Linked DNA regions of Arabidopsis thaliana. The protein of the gene in region 1 interacts with the protein of each later gene in a pairwise test. Each region holds a gene or a part of one and is shown in the gene's direction. Other genes may lie near its edges. The genes, in order: WAK3, ABCG6, AT4G37220 and SAG29.

What was found.
Region 2: the proteins of WAK3 (region 1) and ABCG6 interact in a protein complementation assay, tested with the Arabidopsis thaliana proteins (one large-scale study listed by BioGRID).
Region 3: the proteins of WAK3 (region 1) and AT4G37220 interact in a protein complementation assay, tested with the Arabidopsis thaliana proteins (one large-scale study listed by BioGRID).
Region 4: the proteins of WAK3 (region 1) and SAG29 interact in a protein complementation assay, tested with the Arabidopsis thaliana proteins (one large-scale study listed by BioGRID).

The regions. Positions count from the first base shown.
Region 1 is NC_003070.9:7,431,453-7,438,243, forward strand, and holds WAK3 (wall associated kinase 3), read left to right. Parts: upstream 1-2,782; 5' UTR 2,783-2,850; coding exon 2,851-3,727; intron 3,728-3,828; coding exon 3,829-3,987; intron 3,988-4,060; coding exon 4,061-5,250; 3' UTR 5,251-5,378; downstream 5,379-6,791. Other genes in the region: WAK5 (wall associated kinase 5), read left to right, coding at 1-894; AT1G21245 (Protein kinase superfamily protein), read left to right, coding at 5,390-5,890. UniProt on the Arabidopsis thaliana protein: Serine/threonine-protein kinase that may function as a signaling receptor of extracellular matrix component. Binding to pectin may have significance in the control of cell expansion, morphogenesis and development.
Region 2 is NC_003076.8:4,368,715-4,375,495, forward strand, and holds ABCG6 (ABC-2 type transporter family protein), read left to right. Parts: upstream 1-1,977; 5' UTR 1,978-2,164; coding exon 2,165-4,348; 3' UTR 4,349-4,487; downstream 4,488-6,781. Other genes in the region: DCP2 (decapping 2), read left to right, coding at 208-246, 363-515, 606-709, 800-867, 944-1,278; AT5G13590 (uncharacterized protein), read right to left, coding at 6,004-6,781.
Region 3 is NC_003075.7:17,512,784-17,517,956, forward strand, and holds AT4G37220 (Cold acclimation protein WCOR413 family), read left to right. Parts: upstream 1-2,258; 5' UTR 2,259-2,322; coding exon 2,323-2,498; intron 2,499-2,587; coding exon 2,588-2,695; intron 2,696-2,776; coding exon 2,777-2,847; intron 2,848-2,932; coding exon 2,933-3,186; 3' UTR 3,187-3,379; downstream 3,380-5,173. Other genes in the region: AT4G37210 (Tetratricopeptide repeat (TPR)-like superfamily protein), read left to right, coding at 149-366, 460-672, 760-850, 936-1,209, 1,285-1,638; AT4G37230 (Photosystem II manganese-stabilising protein (PsbO) family), read left to right, coding at 3,641-3,845, 4,578-4,804.
Region 4 is NC_003076.8:4,179,550-4,185,733, reverse strand, and holds SAG29 (senescence-associated gene 29), read left to right. Parts: upstream 1-2,379; 5' UTR 2,380-2,562; coding exon 2,563-2,614; intron 2,615-3,189; coding exon 3,190-3,226; intron 3,227-3,319; coding exon 3,320-3,530; intron 3,531-3,614; coding exon 3,615-3,779; intron 3,780-3,873; coding exon 3,874-3,993; intron 3,994-4,109; coding exon 4,110-4,403; 3' UTR 4,404-4,692; downstream 4,693-6,184. Other genes in the region: PBS1 (Protein kinase superfamily protein), read right to left, coding at 6,052-6,184.

The DNA.
Region 1 (6,791 bases):
AAAGCTCGACTTGGAGACCGTAGCCAAGTAGAGCAGTTCATCAACGAAGTGCTAGTGCTTTCACAAATAAACCACAGGAACGTGGTCAAACTCTTGGGCTGTTGTCTAGAGACTGAAGTTCCCTTGTTGGTCTATGAGTTCATTTCCAGTGGCACTCTTTTTGATCACTTGCACGGTTCTATGTTTGATTCTTCGCTTACATGGGAACACCGTCTGAGGATAGCCATAGAAGTTGCTGGAACTCTTGCATATCTTCACTCCTATGCTTCTATTCCAATCATCCACCGAGATGTCAAGACTGCTAACATTCTCCTCGATGAAAACTTAACTGCAAAAGTAGCTGATTTTGGTGCATCAAGGCTGATACCGATGGACCAAGAGCAGCTCACAACTATGGTTCAAGGAACTCTTGGCTATTTAGACCCTGAATACTACAATACAGGGCTTCTGAACGAAAAGAGCGATGTTTATAGCTTTGGGGTAGTCCTCATGGAACTGCTCTCAGGTGAAAAGGCATTATGCTTTGAACGGCCACAAAGCTCAAAACATCTAGTGAGTTACTTTGTTTCTGCCATGAAAGAAAATAGGTTGCATGAGATTATTGACGGTCAAGTTATGAACGAGTATAATCAGAGGGAGATCCAGGAATCTGCAAGAATTGCTGTTGAGTGTACAAGAATTATGGGAGAGGAAAGGCCAAGTATGAAAGAAGTAGCTGCAGAGTTAGAGGCCTTGAGAGTCAAAACAACCAAACATCAGTGGTCAGATCAATATCCCAAGGAGGTTGAGCATTTGCTTGGTGTTCAAATCTTATCGACGCAAGGTGATACCAGTAGCATTGGCTATGACAGCATCCAGAATGTAACAAGGTTGGACATTGAAACTGGCCGCTGATATTTATCAATCTTTTGTTTGTGAAAAAGTAAAGCCACTTATTTATTGCTTATGTCCTATATGTTTCCTAACACTTCAAAAAAAACAGAGTATCAAAACATGATATTCAAGAACATTTATGCTCGAGAGATCCGTTGTAGATCATCAATTATTCATTTTATAACTCCATTCGATTGGTAAGCTAACCAGTAGACGATTCGGTATGAGAAAAATTAAGAATTCATGAATCTACTAGCAGAGATATTGATATACTGTTGTGGTTGCAAAACAATAACTCGAATTTAAAGGGCTCAGTTGCTTAAAACATCCTATTTGATCCACAGCTTGACTCATATATTGTTTTGGTACTGGCATCTATAATTTAATACTGCGTTTTCTAAATTAACAAAATCATTCTTGCTGCATAAGATTGCTCTGGTTTTGAAGCCATCAAGTTTTCTTATTTTGTTAAAAATTTATGATCTTTAACCATAAGTAATATATATAGTGAAAACATGAGAAAATTTGGTGGATTCTAGAAAAGCACTCTCCGTCAACGTGATCGATATTATGATGAAATGATTACAAAGATGCAATTATATATATCCACGAGCAACAAGACGAAGACAAAAATGTAAACAAGTTAACATATGATTTTGGAATTAGATCAGTAATAAACAAACATATGCACAACTACATGAGAAGTAAAAACTAGTAAACGAGAAATCTCTAACTTAAGATGCGTGGTATGTACGTAACTCCAAAAGAACAACTTGACATTTTTTTTTTTTTTTTTTTTTTGAATGTAATGTTAAATTATATTCAAGAAAAATAACGTTTTTGATACAAGGCTTTGAAAGTATGAAAGAACAACTTGACTATTTGATAAACAACTTGACTCATATATTGCTCTGTTATTAAAATTTTAATACTGCGTTTTCTAAATTAAATTATCATTCTTGCTGCATAAGATTGTTGTGGTTTTGTAACCATCAAATTTTCCTTTTTTGTTAAAACTCTGATCTTTAGTAAATTGAGAAAGCTACCTCTACTATACCCTTAAAATCTCTAAGTCTGGTCTGTCAAAGATTATTTTAATCATCAAACAGTGTATTTTCAGTTTTTTCTCAAGATTTTCCCTCAGTTTCTTTGAATGAATCTGGTTTCTTTCGGTGAAAGAGTGCTGGTCGTAATTGAGTTTGGTTTGTAATATATTACTTAAGTGTCGTGTCTGTTAAGTTAAAGTAGTTATGTTTGTTGTGTCACAAGAAAGAAGAGTCATAACTCTTGACTTTTCATGTCTGTTGGTTTGTATTTAAGTTAATTGTTGTAAACCTTGTAAAACAGTTGTTGTATTTCACTTTCTCTATAATAGAAAGACAAGTTCTTCTCTTTATTGTTATGTTGACGATCAAACCAATTGTGATACAAAGTCTGATTCTCTTTCTCTGTTCTTAACTCTGTTCTGTTTCTAGAAGGAGATTCAGTTTCTAACAAAGTGGTGGATTTGCATGGAAATTTCTCATAGATAACCTCTTGAAGAGTAAGCAGCGACATGACACATGAGGCAAGAACTATTCAAATTCTTCGAAAACTTGTTGACATTTATAAACTCAACACACACACACACACAAAAAAACTACATATTTCTACTATTACGACAGCAGAAGAAAACAGAGCATGTTGTGATCATGATGAGTCTTATTCCTACATTGTCACTATAACGAGACTTTCATATATGAACAATAAATTGGAGTTTCCTGGAAAAATCAAGACAAGAAAGAAAGGACAGATAAAGAAGTTGACGCATTTATATTTTTCTAACGTCTAGTAGTCTGAATCTTTACTTTTCTTCACATTTGATTATTCAACAATGTCAAATCAGGGGTTACTTTTCAAGCTATAAGAAGCGAATAAGCGATGAGAGAAAACTCAAAGAGAAACAAGTTTAGAGAGAAAGAAAGAGAAAGGTAGAAGATGAAGTTCCAGGAGGGTGTGTTCTTGGTGGTTATTTTCTTCCTTGCATATACTCAGCTTGTGAAGGGGCAACATCAACCTCGCGAAGATTGTAAACTTAAATGTGGAAACGTCACAATAGAGTACCCTTTTGGTATTTCTACAGGTTGTTACTATCCCGGAGATGATAATTTCAATCTCACCTGTGTCGTGGAAGAGAAGCTACTACTCTTTGGCATCATTCAAGTGACCAATATTTCTCACAGTGGCCATGTAAGTGTACTGTTTGAACGATTCTCTGAATGCTACGAGCAGAAAAATGAGACTAATGGAACTGCCCTCGGGTATCAGCTGGGTAGTAGTTTCTCTCTCTCCTCCAACAACAAGTTTACTTTAGTAGGATGTAACGCTTTATCACTTTTGAGCACTTTTGGAAAGCAAAACTACTCAACTGGATGCTTGTCATTATGCAATTCTCAACCAGAGGCAAATGGAAGATGTAATGGTGTAGGTTGCTGCACAACAGAGGACTTCTCTGTCCCGTTCGATAGCGATACATTCCAATTTGGCTCAGTTCGCTTGAGAAACCAAGTTAATAATTCCTTAGATCTATTTAATACTTCGGTATATCAGTTTAATCCTTGCACCTACGCTTTTCTCGTTGAAGATGGTAAGTTTAACTTCGATTCTTCAAAAGATCTTAAGAATCTGAGGAATGTCACGAGGTTCCCTGTGGCACTAGATTGGTCTATTGGAAACCAGACATGTGAGCAAGCTGGAAGCACAAGAATATGCGGTAAGAACAGCTCATGTTACAATTCTACTACTAGAAACGGGTATATCTGCAAATGTAATGAAGGTTATGATGGGAATCCATACCGTTCAGAGGGTTGCAAAGGTACTTCATATTAATTTCTTTGCTTTCTTTCTTCTTTTGAGTGTTTATAATCTTCCTCATACGTTTTTGGTTGCATCTTGTGCACTTATTCCTTTGGTCAGACATCGATGAGTGTATTAGTGATACACATAACTGTTCGGATCCAAAAACCTGTAGAAACAGGGATGGAGGCTTCGATTGTAAGTGTCCATCTGGTTACGACTTAAACTCCAGTATGAGCTGCACGAGGCCCGAATACAAACGGACTCGAATTTTTCTTGGTAAACACTCTTCACTGGTTCTAGATTCTCTTTAAATCAACTCGCTCTAATCATCTATGCATGATGTTATCAGTAATCATAATCGGCGTCTTGGTCCTCCTGCTTGCTGCGATCTGTATACAACATGCAACGAAGCAAAGGAAGTATACCAAGCTCCGACGACAATTCTTTGAGCAAAATGGTGGTGGCATGTTGATACAGCGACTTTCAGGAGCAGGGTTGTCAAACATTGATTTCAAAATCTTTACTGAGGAAGGCATGAAAGAGGCAACTAATGGCTATGATGAGAGCAGAATCTTGGGCCAGGGAGGTCAAGGAACAGTCTACAAAGGGATATTGCCGGACAACACTATCGTTGCTATAAAGAAAGCTCGGCTTGCAGACAGTAGACAAGTAGATCAGTTCATCCACGAAGTGCTCGTGCTTTCACAAATTAACCACAGGAACGTGGTCAAGATCTTGGGTTGCTGTCTAGAGACTGAAGTCCCCTTGTTGGTCTATGAATTCATTACCAATGGCACCCTTTTCGATCACTTGCACGGTTCCATTTTTGATTCTTCTCTTACATGGGAACACCGCCTCAGAATAGCGATAGAAGTCGCTGGAACTCTTGCTTATCTTCACTCCTCTGCTTCTATTCCAATCATCCATCGCGATATCAAAACTGCAAATATTCTCTTGGATGAAAACTTAACTGCAAAAGTAGCCGACTTTGGCGCTTCTAAGCTTATACCAATGGATAAAGAGCAGCTCACAACTATGGTGCAAGGCACTCTAGGCTATTTAGACCCAGAATACTATACCACAGGGCTTCTGAACGAGAAGAGCGATGTGTATAGCTTTGGGGTAGTCCTCATGGAACTGCTCTCAGGTCAAAAGGCATTGTGCTTTGAACGGCCACAGGCTTCAAAACATTTGGTGAGTTACTTTGTTTCTGCCACGGAAGAGAATAGGTTGCATGAGATTATTGACGACCAAGTGTTGAACGAGGATAATCTGAAGGAGATCCAGGAAGCTGCAAGAATTGCTGCAGAGTGTACAAGGCTAATGGGAGAGGAAAGGCCAAGGATGAAAGAAGTAGCTGCAAAGCTAGAAGCCTTGAGGGTCGAGAAAACCAAACATAAGTGGTCGGATCAGTATCCTGAGGAGAATGAACACTTGATTGGTGGTCACATCTTGTCTGCACAAGGCGAAACCAGTAGCAGCATTGGCTATGATAGCATCAAAAATGTAGCAATATTGGACATTGAAACTGGCCGCTGATATTGCTCACAAAATCACATGTATCTCTTTTGTTTGTAAAAAAAGAAAACCACTTATTTGTTGCTTCATCAATATGCTTTGAGAGCTTGTTTGTTCATCATCAATAATCATGTTCATATTTTCCTTTACTTGGTATACTATGGTGCAAGGCACTCTAGGCTATTTAGACCCAGAATACTATACCACAGGGCTTCTGAACGAGAAGAGCGATGTGTATAGCTTTGGGGTAGTCCTCATGGAACTGCTCTCAGGTCAAAAGGCATTGTGCTTTGAACGGCCACAGGCTTCAAAACATTTGGTGAGTTACTTTGTTTCTGCCACGGAAGAGAATAGGTTGCATGAGATTATTGACGACCAAGTGTTGAACGAGGATAATCTGAAGGAGATCCAGGAAGCTGCAAGAATTGCTGCAGAGTGTACAAGGCTAATGGGAAAAGAAAGGCCAAGGATGAAAGAAGTAGCTGTAGAGCTAGAAACTTTGAGCGTCAAAACAACCAAACATAATTGGTCGGATCAGTATCGAGAGGAGAATTTACACTTGCTTGGTAGCAACATCGTGTCTTCCCAAGGCGATACCAATAGCCGTGGTTATGACAGCGTCAAGAATGTAGCATTGCTTGACATTGAAGCTGGCCGCTGATAAATTTTGTTTGTTAAAAAGTATATTGTTTAATTCTTTATTGTTTATCTCCTTTTGTCTTTATAAACATAACCAGAATATCAAAACATGACATTCAAAAACATTGATATCCTTGTAGATCATCCATATATACTCATGTTCACAATTCTCCTATATTTTTATATGCTAACCAGTAGCTGATTAGGTATTAGAAAAACTACCTAGAGTTCATAAATATGATTCCATACGACATTAATATATCATTGTGCTTAATTATAAAGAAAAACAAAACAACTCGAGAAGAAAAAACACTAGAATTTAAAGTAGGCGTCAAAAACAGAGGAGAGTAAGTATACTATGAATATGATCATCGAAATCTTCAGCACCTGGTCGAGTTCATCGTAGATACCGCTTCCTCAAACCAAACCATATGATTCTTTGTTAGTTGCTTGGTAAACTAAAAAAATAAAAGACTCATTTGGTGCAAACTTCATATTTGATCTACAGCTTGAGTCATCATGTTTCGTTACTCATCTACAACCCATCATTCTTGTTGCATAAGATTGCTTGATATTGTATATCACATCAAATCTCTTAATTTGTTTCTTGTTAAAATATATGATTTTTAGTAAGTGTTAGTCAGCAATCCTACGATTATTGGCAGGTTAGTCACCAATCAAAGCATGATCACTTGTTGTCTACTTCCATTTGATTACCCCAATTCATGTTTATTGACTTACTAATAATACCAAGCACGTATTCAGACTAAAATTATCTTAGAACCAACTTCAGTGGATGAAGATAAAAGTTGGGGAAAGTGCAGACTCAAATATTAAAGGAATCTCAATTCTCAGTTTTAACTTTTACTTGTATGTTTGGTAATGCTTTTACCTTTGGTTGCATGCTGCAAAAGTGATTTACT
Region 2 (6,781 bases), on another chromosome or scaffold:
AACAGTTTGATCATAACACATACACCTTACGTACTGAAAATAGATTCTCCTACGTGATAATTGAGGAAGAAAAAATGTTCTTAGGTCACCAGTAGACAGAATCTTTTGCAAATGAGAATAGTGCTGCTGTCAATGGTCAACTATATAGGCTCTCTGTATCTTTTTACTATTTCATTGGTATGGAAATGGTCAAAGGTTTAATTGTAGCTCTCTAGTGCTATTCTCCTGGTGAATGTAGCATTTCAGGTGCTGTAATTCTTCTTCTGATTGTTTGTATAGACTTGGAATATGGGTTAATGTTGAAAAAAAACTGAATATTTTGTCACACTTCTTATGTATTGTTCTTCCATGCTAAATTACAGGTCTTAGAGGAAACTGGATTTGATGTCTCAAAGCTACTCAAGAGAGAAGAATATATAGAGTTTGTTTTCAGGCAGCAAAGAGTACGACTTTACATTGTTGCTGGGGTGACAGAAGATACAGTTTTTGCACCACTTACAAAGAAGGAAATCAGTGTGCGTATTTAACAATTAACTTGTGGATCTGATCTTGTCTGTGTATGTATGATGAGTCTCTTATCTTCTTTTGTTGTGGAATACTTGTAGGAAATCACATGGCATCGGCTTGATCATCTTCAGCCAGCAAGTAATGAGGTGATAACTCATGGAGTTTCTGGTCTCAAATTGTACATGGTGGCACCTTTCCTTTCGTGAGTAGTGGCTCTCTAATTTATACACATAGATTTTTGGGTGATTTTCGTGTTTTGGTTCATAACAAGAGAGATTACAAACTTGTGCAGGTCATTGAAGTCGTGGATATTAAAGCATCCTTCACCTGTAGCACGGAGACCTAACAAGCCCCTTAAAGGTTTGACGTCTTTTTCTCAAGCATTCATTAAAAGAGAGGTTTTTGGTAGAGATCTGACTATATATGCTTTGTACAGCACTCTGCGTGTGGAATGCAAGGACTAGTGTTGGAGGGAACGGGACAGCAACAGTGGAAAGCCAAAATAGAAAGTCTGAACTCAGGACAACAACAATGGAAAGCAACAGTAGAAAGCCTGAACTCAAGAGAACAACAATGGAAAGCCACAGTACAAAGCCTGAACTCAGGAAAGGAACAATGGAAAGCCACAATACAACAGCAACAGTAGAAAGCCACAATACAAAGCCTGTAGTCGACCATTCTCAGGACATAAAACCTGGTGGCAGTTTCATAAACTTCAAGTTCAACCAGTCAGTTATCTTACAGGCGTTGGAATCTGGTAATTCAGCTTGACTGGTCAGTTTGTCACATATCGGTTGGATTGGTGTTGGGAGTAATGATGCGGTTGGATTGGTGGGTTTGTCTATAGCAAAACCGTTGGATATGTTCATACACGCTGGTAGCTTTCTATTTCTTTGCCATTTGGTTTATATACCTCTCGTTTCTTCTAGAATGAAAGGGTTGTTGTAAATGATGTTAGTAGGGAAGTGGTGAATCCTTTGGATCATGGCTTTAGATGACAATGTTACGACCAGCTATAAAGGTTAAAAGAGTTTCTTATCCGAGTAGTGAATCGATGATCTTCTTTATAGCGCCCTCTAACTGCTTAATCGAAGCAGAAAGTGTTTTTCTTTTTAGAATAAAAAATGAACTCACCTATAAAACAAAAAGTCGCACCTAAATAAGTGAAGTTTATGTAATACTATGATTACCTTGGAAACAAGAGATATCTCGAGATTGTTTAGTTTTTTTCACATTGTAATTTGTTAGTATAAAAGGTGGGTGGGGGAATGGTGGCCTAAATTCGGCAAGGGTGGCCTAAAAAATACATTTGATTGCTATACGAAAACATTTTAAAGAAACAGAAACTGACAAGTGGCATTTTGTGTTTTACACTTTTACTTGCTTGTGTTTAGGTTTGGAGGTTCATCTACATAAGCATCAGCATTGTGACTTTGACTCTCCCCATCAAAATTAATCCTAAAAATCAAAGCATGTTAAACAGCCCAACCACATTGAGAATTTTATCTATAAATAGAATTAGAAATTAAATCCTTGGTTAAACCCATAACTCTTCTTTCCTCTTTTCTTCTCCGGCTAACGGTAGTTTTGACGCCGTTAGTTTTTCCTCCGTCTATTGATTTTTCCCGCTTCACAATCGCAACAAACCCAAAGAAGAATGTCTCGTGTGGTCGCAGCGGACGACAATATGGCGTTGCCGTTCTTCTCGCCGGAGTTTGGCAATGTCTCAGGCGCGTCGTCTTCTCCAACAACGTTCGCACAGCTCTTGCAAAACGTCGACGACTCCACGCGTCGTAGTCACCACCAGCATCACGTTGATGTGGATCTCGCCTCGCCGGACCAATCCGTACCGTTCGTTCTCTCGTTCACTGATCTCACTTACAGCGTCAAAGTTCGCCGGAAGTTCACATGGAGACGCAGTGTTTCTTCAGATCCTGGAGCTCCGTCTGAGGGGATCTTCTCTTCCAAGACGAAGACGCTCCTCAACGGAATCACCGGAGAAGCTAGAGACGGAGAGATACTAGCTGTGCTCGGAGCAAGTGGCTCTGGAAAATCGACGCTGATCGATGCGTTAGCGAATCGAATCGCTAAAGGAAGCTTGAAAGGAAATGTAACTCTAAACGGAGAAGTTCTCAATTCGAAAATGCAGAAAGCGATCTCAGCTTATGTGATGCAAGACGATCTTCTTTTTCCGATGCTTACAGTTGAAGAAACCTTAATGTTCGCTGCCGAGTTTCGTCTCCCGCGAAGCCTTTCGAAATCAAAGAAGTCTCTCCGTGTCCAAGCCTTGATTGATCAGTTAGGACTTAGAAACGCGGCGAATACGGTGATCGGAGATGAAGGACACCGTGGAATCTCTGGAGGAGAGCGACGGCGAGTTTCAATCGGGATCGATATCATCCACGATCCGATTCTGCTTTTCCTCGATGAACCAACTTCGGGTCTGGACTCTACAAGTGCTCTAAGTGTTATTAAGGTTCTTAAACGAATCGCTCAGAGTGGAAGTATGGTGATCATGACTCTTCATCAACCTAGTTACCGTCTTCTTCGATTGCTTGATCGTCTTCTCTTCTTGTCCCGTGGCCAAACTGTCTTCAGCGGATCGCCTGCGATGCTACCGCGCTTCTTCGCAGAGTTTGGCCATCCAATTCCTGAACATGAGAACCGCACCGAGTTCGCTTTGGATTTGATACGTGAGCTGGAAGGATCAGCTGGTGGAACAAGAAGTTTAGTTGAATTCAACAAAGGGTTTAGACAGAGGAAAGCAGAGCCAAGAAGTCAGACTGGCTTGTCCTTAAAAGAAGCCATCAGCGCAAGTATCTCTAAAGGCAAGCTCGTCTCTGGAGCGACCACAACAACTCATAGCTCTGGCTCGAGCCCTGTTTCCACTATTCCAACTTTCGCGAACCCGTTTTGGGTCGAACTCGCGGTTCTAGCCAAACGGTCCATGACTAATTCTCGCAGACAGCCTGAACTATTCGGGATACGCCTAGGAGCTGTTTTAGTCACTGGATTCATCTTAGCCACTATGTTTTGGCAGCTAGATAACTCCCCTAAAGGAGTCCAAGAACGTCTTGGATGCTTCGCTTTTGCAATGTCCACAACGTTCTACACTTGCGCAGATGCTCTCCCTGTTTTCCTCCAAGAACGTTTCATTTTCATGAGAGAAACTGCTTACAACGCTTACCGAAGATCCTCCTATGTACTATCTCACTCTCTTGTTGCCCTCCCTTCCTTGATCATCCTCTCGCTTGCTTTTGCAGCGATCACATTTTGGGGTGTGGGTTTAGATGGAGGTCTTATGGGTTTCCTCTTCTACTTCCTAGTAATCTTAGCCTCTTTCTGGGCAGGAAGCTCATTCGTCACCTTCTTATCAGGCGTTGTCCCACACGTTATGCTCGGTTACACCATTGTTGTAGCCATTTTAGCCTATTTCTTGCTTTTCAGTGGATTCTTCATCAACCGAGATCGAATCCCTGGCTACTGGATCTGGTTCCATTACATTTCCTTAGTCAAGTATCCTTATGAGGCTGTGCTCCTAAACGAATTCGGTGACCCAACAAAGTGTTTCGTCAGAGGAGTTCAGATATTCGACAACACACCTCTGGTCGCGGTGCCTCAGGGGATGAAAGTTAGGCTTCTAGCAACTATGAGCAAATCACTTGGAATGAGGATCACAAGCTCTACTTGCTTGACCACAGGATATGACATTTTGCAGCAACAAGGCGTTACGGATCTCACCAAATGGAATTGCTTGTGGGTCACGGTCGCTTGGGGCTTCTTCTTTCGAATCTTGTTCTACTTTTCTCTGCTTTTGGGTAGCAAGAACAAGAGGAGGTAAAAACAAAACTCAGTTTGATCTTATGGAGGACTGGTTTGAAACTTGATTTACCTTTGTTTGTTTTCTGTATTTTTCTTTTATCTCTTTGTTGTATATTCTTATATATGTGGTTGATAAATTGTTGAATTGGAGCCCAACTACTTGCTATTTATTTGAATTATAAATTGGAAGACTCTGAAAAGAAAAGACTATAAATGTGTGTAGAATATTTGGCTTGTTTGGGTTTGATAAGTAAAACAAATTTTACAACTAAAAATTGCCAACTTTTTTAGTACAATAGCACCTTACACATTCCGTAGAACACATCATATGACGTATGTTGATGGATTTGCCAACCATAGTCAAGGGGAAGCTTAGCCTATAGTCTCGTCACTTTTAGAACACCAGCCTCTCTAAACAACTTCAATCTCTTGCTTCAGAAACATGAACTATGTACAAACTCATACACATTCCCCAATCAGATTATGGGTTCCTCTTCCGGTTCCCAACACTTTCCTCAACCCCTCATTAATAACATCTACTGATTCAACCTCGTAAAATTCATCTTTCACATGCCTACACTGGAAAAGCAACAAGATCAATCAGAATCCTTTCCCTCAAATGCAACATTAAAGTTCAAATTCACTTGGAATGAGGAAAAAGATAAGGAACCATCAAACACCCCATTGGGTTCAAATAGGTAGTGTACCTTTGGCCGTTTCCAGTTTGCTCTCGTCCATGGCCAGTAAATCCAGTTCTACCAAACTGTACATGCTTCAACATGATAGGTGATAAAGCTTATTATTGGGTCAAAACAATAATAGCAAACTTACTAACCCTTATTTCTCAAACTCCTTTGTCTCTATCAACTGAAAAGTGGCTATGTCAACATTTCAAGCAAGTTTGGTGTAGGTGGTGTACCTTTGGTATCTTGGATATACCTAAAGCCATATTGATGACATCGTGTTATGAATATCCATCATCTCGTTCTTCGCAGATGCAACTGAAAGTCCTAAACCAAATAACAGTTATAACTCAGCCATATATTGGGGTTGTTATGGTTCTGGCAAGTCCAACTTCAAGTAGAACACACGAGTGCTTCGGCAAAGATACTTGTTCATCAAGAACAAAACCTGCACGTCTCTCTGGCCTGAATAGTTCTACCGGTAAAAAGTCTGGACCCCTGTATTTTAACTAGAGGAAAGTGTCTCTTCTAACAACCTAGGCTAGCCATTCTTCATCCCCTCATATCCGTTAAACCAGTAACGTTCTACATAAGCCGGTTGAGGATTACTGAGTGTAGAGAAGACTAAAAAAACCACATGTATTTACACCATCTTGCTTCAGTTGTATACCCATTCCAACTCACAGACAGTGTTACAGTGCAAATGAGAACACCGGAAACTGAATCACAGCAAGAAAGGTAACAACATCTAGATGATACCACAACAGAAGTGCTATACATACACACAGCCAAGCAATGGCCAAGTTCAAAACTTTTTCGAACGATAGAGCAGAGTGTTCCTTTACATCAGTCATTGGAATGTCCACAATAATCAGCCACTGAATTGTCTCGGCCATGGCAAAATCACAGAACTTCCGTTTGATATCTGATTTACTATCACTTATCTTCCTGGTCTTAGAAGGTTAAAGCAAATTGAATACTAACCTTTATTTTAAAAACCATCACCACCGAGCTCATCCGGTTGCCAAATTTTACTGTTCTTTGAAGTTTCTTCCTCTTCCATATTCTTAGTTCTTCCAGATGCATTCTCAGTTGAGTTCTTATTTTCTCCATCAATTTCCATTAAACTCCCTTGTTCTTCAATTTTAATACGAGGGTCTTGTTGGAACCTCACAGCATCAGGGTCATTCTCTACATTAGTAGGTGCACAACCATCATTGTTAAAAGATGGTCTAAAAGAGCTGCTGGTACCATCATGTCTATAACCAAATCGTCTTCTCTCAGCATTAACATCAACACCAAATCGTTCAGAATGAATTTGACCTTCAAAGAAATCATCACTATAGTCAACCCTTTCTCGAGGATCCAAGTTATTCATGTTTCCATGGTTTCTATGTACAACATGATCAGATGGTTTCCTAAATGAGTTGCCATCTCTTCCATAACCTCGACCCCTTACATAACCTCGGCCCCTTGCATAACCCCGGCCCCTTCCAGCATTCGATGGTCTATGCGAGAAAGGTGGAGAATTGTGTCTTCTGACAACCATTTCTCTTGAATAACCAGAATGGTCAGGCGAGCTCATCCTCTCCACTTTGTAACCTGAGGGTGATCTTCGATGAGAAAAGTCTGTATGCCCACTGAACTCTTCCTGTGATCTATTCCTGAAAGACGAGGATGAACCATCTGATCTTTCTCTTGATCTAACTGGAGATCGTGAACGAAATCCAGGAAAATCTCGTTTGGGGTTGTTTACAAACTTTGTTCGT
Region 3 (5,173 bases), on another chromosome or scaffold:
AATCTAGTTTATGCTCGAATGATCTAATCATGGTTCTGAATTTTTAGTTGAGTTTCAATTGTGTGTTCTCTCGACTGAATTCTTTAGTATCTGGTCCTTTTATCAAAGGATCTAATGAAAACATTGCTTGTTTTAATGGTATGGTTAGGGTTGCACATTATGGTGAACTTGATGCTGAGTGTATAAACGCATACTATCGATATGGATTAGCTCTCCTGGCAAAGGCTCAAGCTGAAGCTGATCCACTTGGGAACATGCCTAAGAAAGAAGGTGAAGTTCAGCAAGAGTCCAGCAATGGTGAATCGCTGGCTCCTTCTGTTGTTTCAGGTGACCCAGAGAGACAAGGGAGTTCAAGTGGGCAAGAAGGTATGGATTATTGGGAATTGTCTTAGGTTAAGCTTATGGGTATAGATGCTTCTGCTTCTTTGTTTGCTGACTTCTTTTCTCCCTCATGTATAGGTTCTGGTGGTAAAGACCAAGGAGAGGATGGTGAAGATTGTCAAGATGATGACCTATCTGATGCTGATGGTGATGCTGATGAAGATGAGTCTGATTTGGATATGGCCTGGAAAATGCTGGACATTGCTAGGGTTATTACTGACAAACAGTCTACTGAGACAATGGAAAAAGTGGATATACTCTGTTCGCTTGCTGAAGTGTCCTTGGAAAGAGGTATTTTTTCTTCCTTTCACCTTTGCATTGTCTTATTTTCTCATGTCAGCTATTGGTTGGTTTTGAGTTCTGTTGTTTACTATGCAGAGGACATTGAGTCTTCCCTGTCTGACTACAAGAATGCATTATCCATCTTAGAGAGACTGGTTGAGCCCGACAGTCGACGCACAGCTGAATTGTATCCTTGTGGTTTCTTAAATTGTACCTGATTTTCGTTTCTGTCAATTCAGTTGTTGGATTATATCTTAACTTGAACGTTTCAGAAACTTCCGCATCTGCATTTGTCTTGAGACTGGATGTCAGCCTAAGGAAGCAATACCATATTGTCAAAAAGCTTTGTTAATATGCAAAGCTCGGATGGAGAGGCTCAGTAATGAAATCAAAGGTGCATCTGGTTCAGCAACTTCCTCAACCGTCTCTGAAATAGATGAAGGCATCCAACAATCATCCAATGTTCCTTACATTGATAAATCTGCTTCAGACAAAGAAGTTGAGATCGGAGACTTAGCTGGTCTCGCTGAAGATCTAGAAAAGAAGGCAAGTAAACTAAACCTATCAGTTCATTAAAATATCTCTAAACCCATACTAATGTCCAACATTTTTTTTCTGCAGCTTGAGGATTTAAAACAACAAGCAGAGAACCCAAAGCAGGTTCTTGCTGAGCTAATGGGCATGGTATCAGCTAAGCCAAATGCCAGTGACAAGGTTGTTCCTGCTGCTGCTGAAATGAGCTCTTCTAGGATGGGAACTGTGAACACCAATTTCGGGAAAGATTTAGAGTCGCCTACAGTCTCAACCGCTCATACCGGTGCAGCAGGAGGAGGAGCAGCATCAGGTGTTACTCACTTGGGTGTTGTTGGAAGAGGAGTGAAGAGAGTTTTGATGAATACAACCTCGATTGAATCAAGTGCATCAAAGAAACCAGCTCTAGAGTTTTCAGACAAAGCAGATGGCAACTCCTCTTGAAACCGGAAAAAGGTATAAAAATTCCTGTTACTAGTGAAGTATCTAACCTAAGAAAACTGAGAAAAACATTTGGTATCTTCCTCATGAATCTTCCAAGACTAGATTTTCAGGTTCATGTTTTGTAATGGAGTCCGTACTTGCTACTTTTTTAAATCGCTGAGATATTTTTTACTTTTTATTCTTGTTTAATCAGTCTTATTTTTTCAAAGTGTTTTTTAGTTTAGGCACAAAAGCAGAATCTTATTATCACATTATCAGTTGATAATCATCTGATGAGAAATAGTTCTTTGGAGATCTTTTAGGGAATTTTATAAGTAATAATTAAGGGATAATTGGATATCCTTTATTAAAAAATGTAGGCTACTTGTAGAATTAAAAACTGGAATCTTATAATATGATTAGTATAATAAGATTACGCTATATCTGGATTCTGGAGATATCATAGATAAGCTCTGTCTATGAAAACGAGACCCTTGGGGAAGCCACGTGTCAAATCTATCTCTGTCACCAGCGAAGCCTACGTGGCGAGCAGCTCCTAGAATATCCAAATTCACAACAGTATTTTTTTTTCTTTCGTTCTGATTCAACAGTTGTCACAAACAGCCAAGGTGTTTTGTGATTGGTTATAAATACTCTGCTATGTGAGAGAGTTTACTACATTCACAAACAAACTAAAACTTAAAAATGGGAAGGGGTGAGTTTTTGGCCATGAAGACTGAGGAGAACGCGGCTAACCTGATCAATTCCGATATGAATGAGTTCGTCGCCGCTGCAAAGAAGCTCGTGAAAGACGTAGGGATGCTCGGCGGGGTAGGTTTTGGCACGTCAGTCCTCCAATGGGCCGCTTCAATCTTCGCTATGTGAGCCAAAAGACAAAACCATATAACCTCTCTGGTTTTTGTTTGAATCATATATTGATATGATGGTTCTTATTGTTTTGCTTTGACAGTTATCTGTTGATATTGGATCGTACCAACTGGAAAACCAAAATGTTGACCACCCTTTTAGTACCATACATCTTTTTCACACTTCCTTCGGTTATCTTCCAGTTCTTTAGGTAATCAAGAAAAACTGTTCTTTAACATGATGTTATGGAGTTCTTTTGAAAATATAATCCATATTCGATATAATTTCACAGCGGAGACTTTGGGAAATGGATTGCTCTCATCGCGATCATAGTCAGGCTTTTCTTCCCTAAAGAATTTCCAGGTCAGAACCAGCAGTTTTCATGACTTAACATTAGTTTGAAACTTTGATCTTGAAAATCTTCTTTCTTTTTTGCATATAAATGTAGAGTGGCTAGAGATTCCGGTAGCATTGATTCTTATTGTGGTGGTGTCGCCGAGCCTTATAGCTTGGACACTAAGAGAAAGCTGGGTTGGAGCAGTCATATGTCTAGTAATAGCATGTTACCTTTTCCATGAACACATTAAAGCTTCAGGTGGATTCAAAAACTCTTTTACTCAAAAGAATGGAATCTCCAATACCATTGGGATCGTTGCCCTCCTCGTTTACCCGGTTTGGACCATCTTCTTTCACATCTTTTAAGTCAATCCGACCCATTGGTTTGTAGACACATTCAACATTTTGTGTCTTCAATTCGTTTTCAAGGTTTGAATTTTATAAGGAGCATTTGTGTTTGAGAAAGTCTTGAATATAAAAAAGAAGTTTCAATCGTGCACTGCTGACTTGTAAGATTGTTTTTTTTTTCTTGTAAATGTGTGACTTGTAAGATATATAAATAAATTTGCATATTGGTTGATTTGTTGAATCAATCTTGAATATTGTAGACTTTTTAATTGATCATGACTAATAGTTGTTTTTTGAAAATTGTTTTTCATTTCATTAACACCAAACAATAAAGCAACACAAATTTCTATCACCTCCTAGCATTGAACTACGTGCCGTTGTTCGTATCCAAAAGTGTATATTCTTGTAATCATTCACCGTCAAAGCTCAAGTAGTTAGTAGCACCACACCAGATTTCCAAAGCACAAAGCTCATGACTAGCCTTACCTACACACTCGATGAAATCGAAGGCCCTTTCGAAGTTGATTACGCAGCAGTGACAGTACACAACTTCCTGGTGGGGAGCGTGTACCGTTCTTGTTCACGATCAAGCAGCTCGTGGCATCGCAGAGGATACTTTGGTCCCAAGTCGATCCCTTCAGCATTCACCCAAGGCCACGTTGGAAATAAATCTGATCGTAAAACACAACATCTGCAGATTATTATCAATAAAAATTCAGAAATCAATAAAATTCACTCTGAAAACGCAGAAAATCTAAGGTAAATTCATAACGACCTTTTGAATTTCTAGTGTCGAAGCTGTATTGAAGAAGAAGAAGAAGATTCCGAAGCTAACAAAGGAGAAGACGAGAGTGGATTGATTGCTCCTCTCTCCTCTCTGATGATATTCGTGCTTCTACACTCACAGAGATACACTGTTTATTATTGTTTTCAATATATGAGAGGAGGAGCTTCCCTACTATTTTTAGTTTTTTAGCCAATGAGAGAGCTCCACTTCATACCCCACTTTTACCAATCGTGCGATTTCACAGCCACTCTCACCCATGTCGCGTTGAGCGCGTGTCTACGATTTCTAAAGGGGTTATTAATCCACAAAATTTATGCCTTTTTGAATCCACGCACCTCGTTCTTAAAAACCCATCGCGTGTCTTATTTGTTTTGGTTTTCTTCTCTAAACCAAATTAAACCGAACCGAGATCAATTTGAATTTCGAAACCAATGTAAACCCATCGCTGTGAAAACAAAAAGCTCGGCCACAAAAATGGAGACGACACAACTTGGAAGAGAAATCAACTCGAAATAGCCAAGAGAATGTTCGTAAACCCCCTCAAATCCGATGCTTCCTTTGATTCCAACCTCCAAAAGCCCATCTGCTCAAATCCGAGGAGTATTACAAGGTACCTCTATAGAATATCAAGGCTATGACAATGCGGTTGCATTACCTGCTAGAGGAAACAATGAGGAGCTAGCTAAGGAGAACAACAAGATCACACTTAGTGTAACAAAGAGTAATCCCGAGAGCGGTGAAGTGATTGGTGCTTTCGAGAGTATTCAACCTTCAGACACTGATTTGGGTGCTACGACTCCTAAGGATGTCAAGATTCAAGGAATCTGGTATTGCCAACTTGATGAATAAAACATAGAGAATCTGTTTGTTTTCTTTTTCTGTAAATGTTGTTATGATTAAGGAATATTGATTCCAGTTCATAGTACATGTGGTACTCCATTTGGTAACACTTTGCACTTTTGGCTTTAATCAGATACTAATTATTGTGATTAAAAGACTAATTATTGCGGATTAAGATAACATATTTGTAGATCTGTATAATTGCTTGTAACAGCAAAGATGATTTCTGGTTAAGAAGTAAGAAGAGATTTATAATTAAGCAAACCATTTGCCTTATGACCCCATTGTTGTCACATCCACTTTGTCTTTTCACCTTCCCTGTCTCAAAAAACAGAGGACCCTTGCTCTGTTTCTTAACCCTGTTTTATCTCCTACTCA
Region 4 (6,184 bases), on another chromosome or scaffold:
CTATCATTGAAAGCTATATGTAGCATAGCTAGATAAATGTATGTGTGTGTAAAGCTAGATTCGTATAACCGATTGAAATCAGAAAACGATAGGATCGGGGGAGGTTTAATTTCACCCACATGATTGTCATTTTTCCTTTATGTGGTAGCAACATACACAAATTTATATGCATCCATCATATATCAATGTGGGTCACCTAGATGCCTATATTATTGGGGTTTGATCAGCCGATGTTTGTTGTATTTGGGTTGATTTTCCACATAATTCATTTAAAGCATCATCCATTAAAAACGAAAAAACATTTCATATATGGGTTACAGAAATTTTATTCGATGAGAAATGTCAAAATATAAACGAGAAATTGTGATGTGATGCAATATTGCTAGTGAATTATGAATATCTATTGTTCATGACTACTGTATACATATTACTATAAATGTCCATGGATATATTTATAGTAAATAATATAAAGAAGTCAGGGGAATGTGATTGCAAATTTGCATACACCGTATGGATCGTACGATGAACCAAAACTATATTAGGCACCAATCAATCAAAATTTTTAAGAGAAACCAAAGTTGCTTCAATAGTAATTAGAGATGGGGAAATTAAGGTGGAGGAGAACCACAAAAGTGGCACCTCTCATATTTTAAATTATTATGGACCAAATAAAAGAAAGAGGGAGAGAGAGAAACAAATACTCACGAATAAGAACAAGAAGGATTTAACAAACCCATGATCATTGTTATCATTAGCCTACCACGTCACTCCTCTTTTGTCCATTTCTTCCCACTTTTAATATCTGTTTTAACTTACCCTCGAAAAATGGAGAATTGTTTCGTAATTTTCTCAACCTTTTCTCCAAAATATTCAGATTCCTTTCCTCATAACTATAGAAACAAACGTAACAAAAGAAAATGTAATATTCAACCAATCTCTGAATAATATGCATATTACTGCATAACTAGATCATTATACATGCATCCTTATTTCAAAAAATTAACGAGAAAAAGTTTATAAACATTTTAGAAAATTATATATAACTGGAATCAACAAAAAGGACTAATTGTTATTTAATATACTAATATAAGAAATCCTGAAAATAGGGATTAAAACAGGAGACGAAGAGCAAGAAACAGAAAATACTCTAAAGACACGAAACCAAAGAGAGGGTGTTGCCTAGTCAGCATCTGATGACGTGGCATAGCTCTCGTGTGTGTGTGTCTCTACAAACTCTAAAGAAACGGCTATAAGTGGAAGCGTTTGGAGAGGTCACGTGATTTGCACAAATTTTTCGTTTTCATGCTATTATTATCGTATTATTAATCACGACTCTCTCTCGTAACGCATCATTTTTTTCGTTTAATTTACCTTAATTTATTCTCACGCGCGACGCTCCGTTTCGACGCGTGGAGTTTTTGCTCAAAACATGCATGATTGTTAACGTTTTCTTTTTGTACAAGGAAAAAAAAAAACGTGTACCTCTAGACAAGAGTTAGAGAGAAATGAGAAACTGGACCAGGAGATGTGAATGGTTTCATTCCTACTTTGGTTAATCATTGCAAATGCCAATAATTATATAGAGAACGGCGTCAATTTTCTGCAAAGAAATATCTTTACTGGTACTTTTTTGTGCTACCTATAAATGTGTTGGTTTAATCTAGCCATCACACGTATATTTCTAGCTATGTTAGATCTTTAATCATTCTCACCTAGACTCCTTTACAAAAACCAATATAGATGAAACCAGTCCCACCCCTCTCATTTAAGTCATAGTATATATTTGTGTAACGAGAATACAGACAAAACAATTAAATTCATTGTAATCATACTTGAAAATATAGTCAATGAAATTAATTATCCTACATTTTTGAAAACAGTGTCTATAATTATTATGTACATTGAATAGATACGTGGGATATTTTGGATTCCAGTTCATATATATGTAGATTAAAAATAAAGAGAGGGCGATAAAGCCTAAAGAAAATGTACAAATCGTAATGTAATCTAGTGATGATTTCCTCTATATAGGTTGATGTTGGGTAGACTTTTGGTCACCATGATATTTATCTATCGTCTATAAAGTACAAAACTGTGGTACTAAATGTGATTTATGAAAGCTAATTAAAAAGAAGGCGTGAAGAAAATGAAATCGTAATAGACGACGCGCGTACGAGATGAGAGTAGTGGAGGAAAGAAGTAAGATTGAGTGAATGATAAAATGCAAACGCTACCTACTAATATCTCCACTTGTCATGCAACCAGACTGAGTTCGTTTTCCTTTTCGAGTCTTATTTTTTTGTTTTTTATTCTACTCAACACGTTACACGCTTCTAATAAACTCTAAACATTAAAATCAAAATATTTTGACTACAATGGTTATTTTGGAGCTATATATAAACCACCTGAGCCTCCTCAGTTTCCTCCATGAAATAAAAAGAAGCATCTTCTAGAGAGAGACATATAGAGAAAGAGAGAGAAAGCTTTAGGGTTTCAAAAAAAAAAAAAAAGAGACCCTTTAGAAATCTCCTAACAGGAAAGTTTTCTCAATTGCTATAGAAAATGGGAGTCATGATCAATCACCATTTCCTCGCTTTTATCTTCGGCATCTTAGGTAATGATAAATCCACAAAGCCAAATCCTAGTTTGTTCATCATCTCTTGTCTTTACTGTTATTCTTATGTTTTTTACTTGTTAACAAAAGGAATTTGCAACAGCAACTATAATGTTGCAACTTTACATCTAAGCTTCTGTTTTCAAAACAATATATACTATGTGTAGGGTTCCATTGTAGTTCTAGCTTAGAGTTAATTAAACAACAGAGTACTAAGAAATGAATTGAAATTCTGTAGTGTTCATCATGACTCACCTAACAAGTTTCAAGTTTTTTCTTCATTAACTAAACTAAGTCATTTGGGATTATAAATGATCTTCTAATTCTTTAGTTAAATCCCAAACTACCAAAAAATAAATCAATACGTAAGCTATTAATTAAATTGAAATCGTCACGCATTGTTGTCCATGTTATATCATACTCAATACGTGTATAGTGGTTAATGCACAATTTAATTCCCCGCTGAGGTTGGTTAGAGAACCCGTACTGATTCATATGTACTTATGTTTCCACAAAACTAGAAGCCTCTTAATTATACAATTGACTCATTTTTTTATTTTTACATGGAATTACAGGAAACGTGATATCCTTCCTTGTATTCCTCGCTCCAGTGTAAGTAGATTCAATTTACTTTTTTTTATTTCATTTTATTTATTTGTTAGTTTTGAGAATGATTCTGATGATTTCGTTTTTCAAAATATTCAGGCCAACTTTTTATAGAATATACAAGAGAAAATCGACGGAAAGTTTCCAGTCGCTACCGTACCAAGTGTCGCTATTTAGCTGCATGCTATGGCTCTACTACGCATTGATTAAGAAAGACGCTTTTCTCCTAATTACCATCAACTCCTTTGGCTGCGTCGTGGAGACTCTCTACATAGCCATGTTCTTCGCTTACGCCACCAGGGAGAAAAGGGTAAAATTATTCCCCTCTCCTCCTCCTTAATTCCGCTATGTAATTAAATACGAATATTAAATGAATAATATGCGTTTTTGGCAGATATCGGCTATGAAGTTGTTCATAGCAATGAACGTTGCCTTCTTCTCGTTGATTCTAATGGTAACACATTTCGTGGTTAAAACTCCTCCCCTCCAAGTCTCTGTACTCGGCTGGATTTGTGTTGCCATTTCTGTTTCTGTTTTCGCTGCCCCTCTAATGATCGTGGTAAGCTAGCGTTATTTAATTTAATTTGTAAATTTATTTCTAGAACATTATATTTTGAAATAAAATGTTAAATATAAATTCTTGATGTGAATAGGCTCGTGTGATAAAGACAAAGAGTGTGGAGTACATGCCCTTCACGCTTTCTTTCTTCCTCACTATAAGCGCCGTTATGTGGTTCGCTTATGGTTTATTCCTCAATGACATATGCATAGCGGTAAGCAATTAAGCATCTATATTATTATTTATTTTTACCGTTTGCTAAATTTTTTAAATATTCGGTAAAAAGGTTATAACTGACCTATTTTGTATGGCTTTGATGATATTTTGTAGATTCCAAACGTGGTGGGATTCGTACTAGGGCTGTTGCAAATGGTTTTGTACTTGGTTTACAGGAACTCAAATGAGAAACCAGAGAAGATTAATTCGTCAGAACAACAACTTAAGAGTATTGTCGTGATGAGTCCGTTAGGTGTGTCGGAAGTGCACCCAGTTGTGACGGAATCGGTGGACCCACTCTCTGAAGCCGTTCATCATGAGGATCTGTCCAAAGTTACTAAAGTGGAGGAGCCGTCAATTGAAAACGGCAAGTGCTACGTGGAGGCTACTCGTCCTGAAACCGTTTGAAGTGTCAATATGTGAAGCTCAAAATATTGCTCTCTCTCTCTCTCTCTTTCACTCTCTTTCTCTCGGCTCGTCAGGGCCGGCCAAAGGAAGAAATTGTATTATCGGCGGGGTGGTTTGTTAAATTTCCATTTTTGTTTCGTATCTTATTGATGATGTACTACTTGCATAAAGTTTTGTGTTTATTTGAATATATTATCTTTGTGTAAGTTGTAACTAGTGCTCTTTGGAAAATTTGATATAATAAACCTCAATAGCTTAATTACTCCTACTAATAAGCTTTTTTTTTGTTAAAACTAATAAGCTTGTTGACCACCCTTTTTTTTTATGATTGATTACATTTGTCTTAAAGATGTCGCCGTCAGTTAGATAACGAATGGTCTTGTGCCATTGACGACATACTGTTTAACGATTTTGAGAATTAACAAATATATAAAACTCATGAGTCAGAAGAAAAAGTATGTACATAAGTTTGTGATCTAAACTGTCCCCATCAAGTATATACAACCAAAGCAGATTATATTCTTTTTTAAACGAATTGTGTTTTTCTTTGTAGAGTCTAATTTTCAAGTGTACAAAAAATCATCACCGTCCAGTTTTGGAAACGAATAAAAAATTGTCAAGACGTCCCAATGGTCTGATGAAAATGTATTGCAAGCATATCTCACACTTCCAAGTGACAATCACTATATTATTTGCTTATTCGTAACAAAATATACAAGATTACTTAGTTATCTACAAATATTATAACCATCCTATGATTATATTACCCCAAAATATTTTAATATAACTATAAATAACTCGTAAGAAATAATAATATGAAATATATATACTTGTTAACTAACTTACATTTTAAACCGTAACGACAAAATCCGACAAAGAATCATATATATTATAGCGAATTTTGACAAATTACGCATGCCAGTGTAGGATACGCTATGTAATTTATAAAATTAGTATGTCTCTTGATGGAAAAAAAGACAGAGGTTTTTAGTTAATAATTTTTCCTCTTACTTAAAAAATTCTAAAATTTAGGACTATCTAGTAAAGAATAGATTCTCCGAGTATTTAGAGGCCAAGAAATGATATTCACCAAAACTAAAACATACGGGAAGTTTCGACATCCATTTCAATAGACTACACAGTACACTGTCAATAGTAAAAAAAAGTCCCGACAAAAACTTGATAAGACCAACTAAAATCTTACAATCTGAATAAGCCATCCTTAAAATAATTGTCAGATTGCGAGGGCATGTGACCCACGTTGTCCGAAACTCCGCGATTGTGGACATTAGCCACACTACTGAACCACATGAATAGAGTCCAGAAACACTTAATATTGGATCTTTGCTATTCAATCTTTCAATGAGACGTAAACATCGCCACATGTGACTCATCATGAAACACATATCTGTCAAAATTTAAAAATAGAAAGACTACAAAATTTACATGAACAATCTTCACAACTCTCCAGAATCTCAATTAGAGAGTTTTGGTTATTAACCTTTGTGCCCATATTGCAACATCACATATATAATGTACAGCAACTCGTCGTCCCAATGTTTTTTTGTTTGTTTTCTATGTTTGACAATAAATGAGAGTCTTGAGAGAAATAAGAACAAAAAAGGGTCAAGACCGACCCAAACCGGTTCTACCCGGTACTGTTGCTCTCTGAAGTACCCTGCTCGCTCTGTCTTCGTTTCTCCCTCAAACTCTCTCCCCACATCTTAGCCTCTGCAACCGCACGCTCCCTATTGATATCTCGGTTCAATATCCGAGCTGTC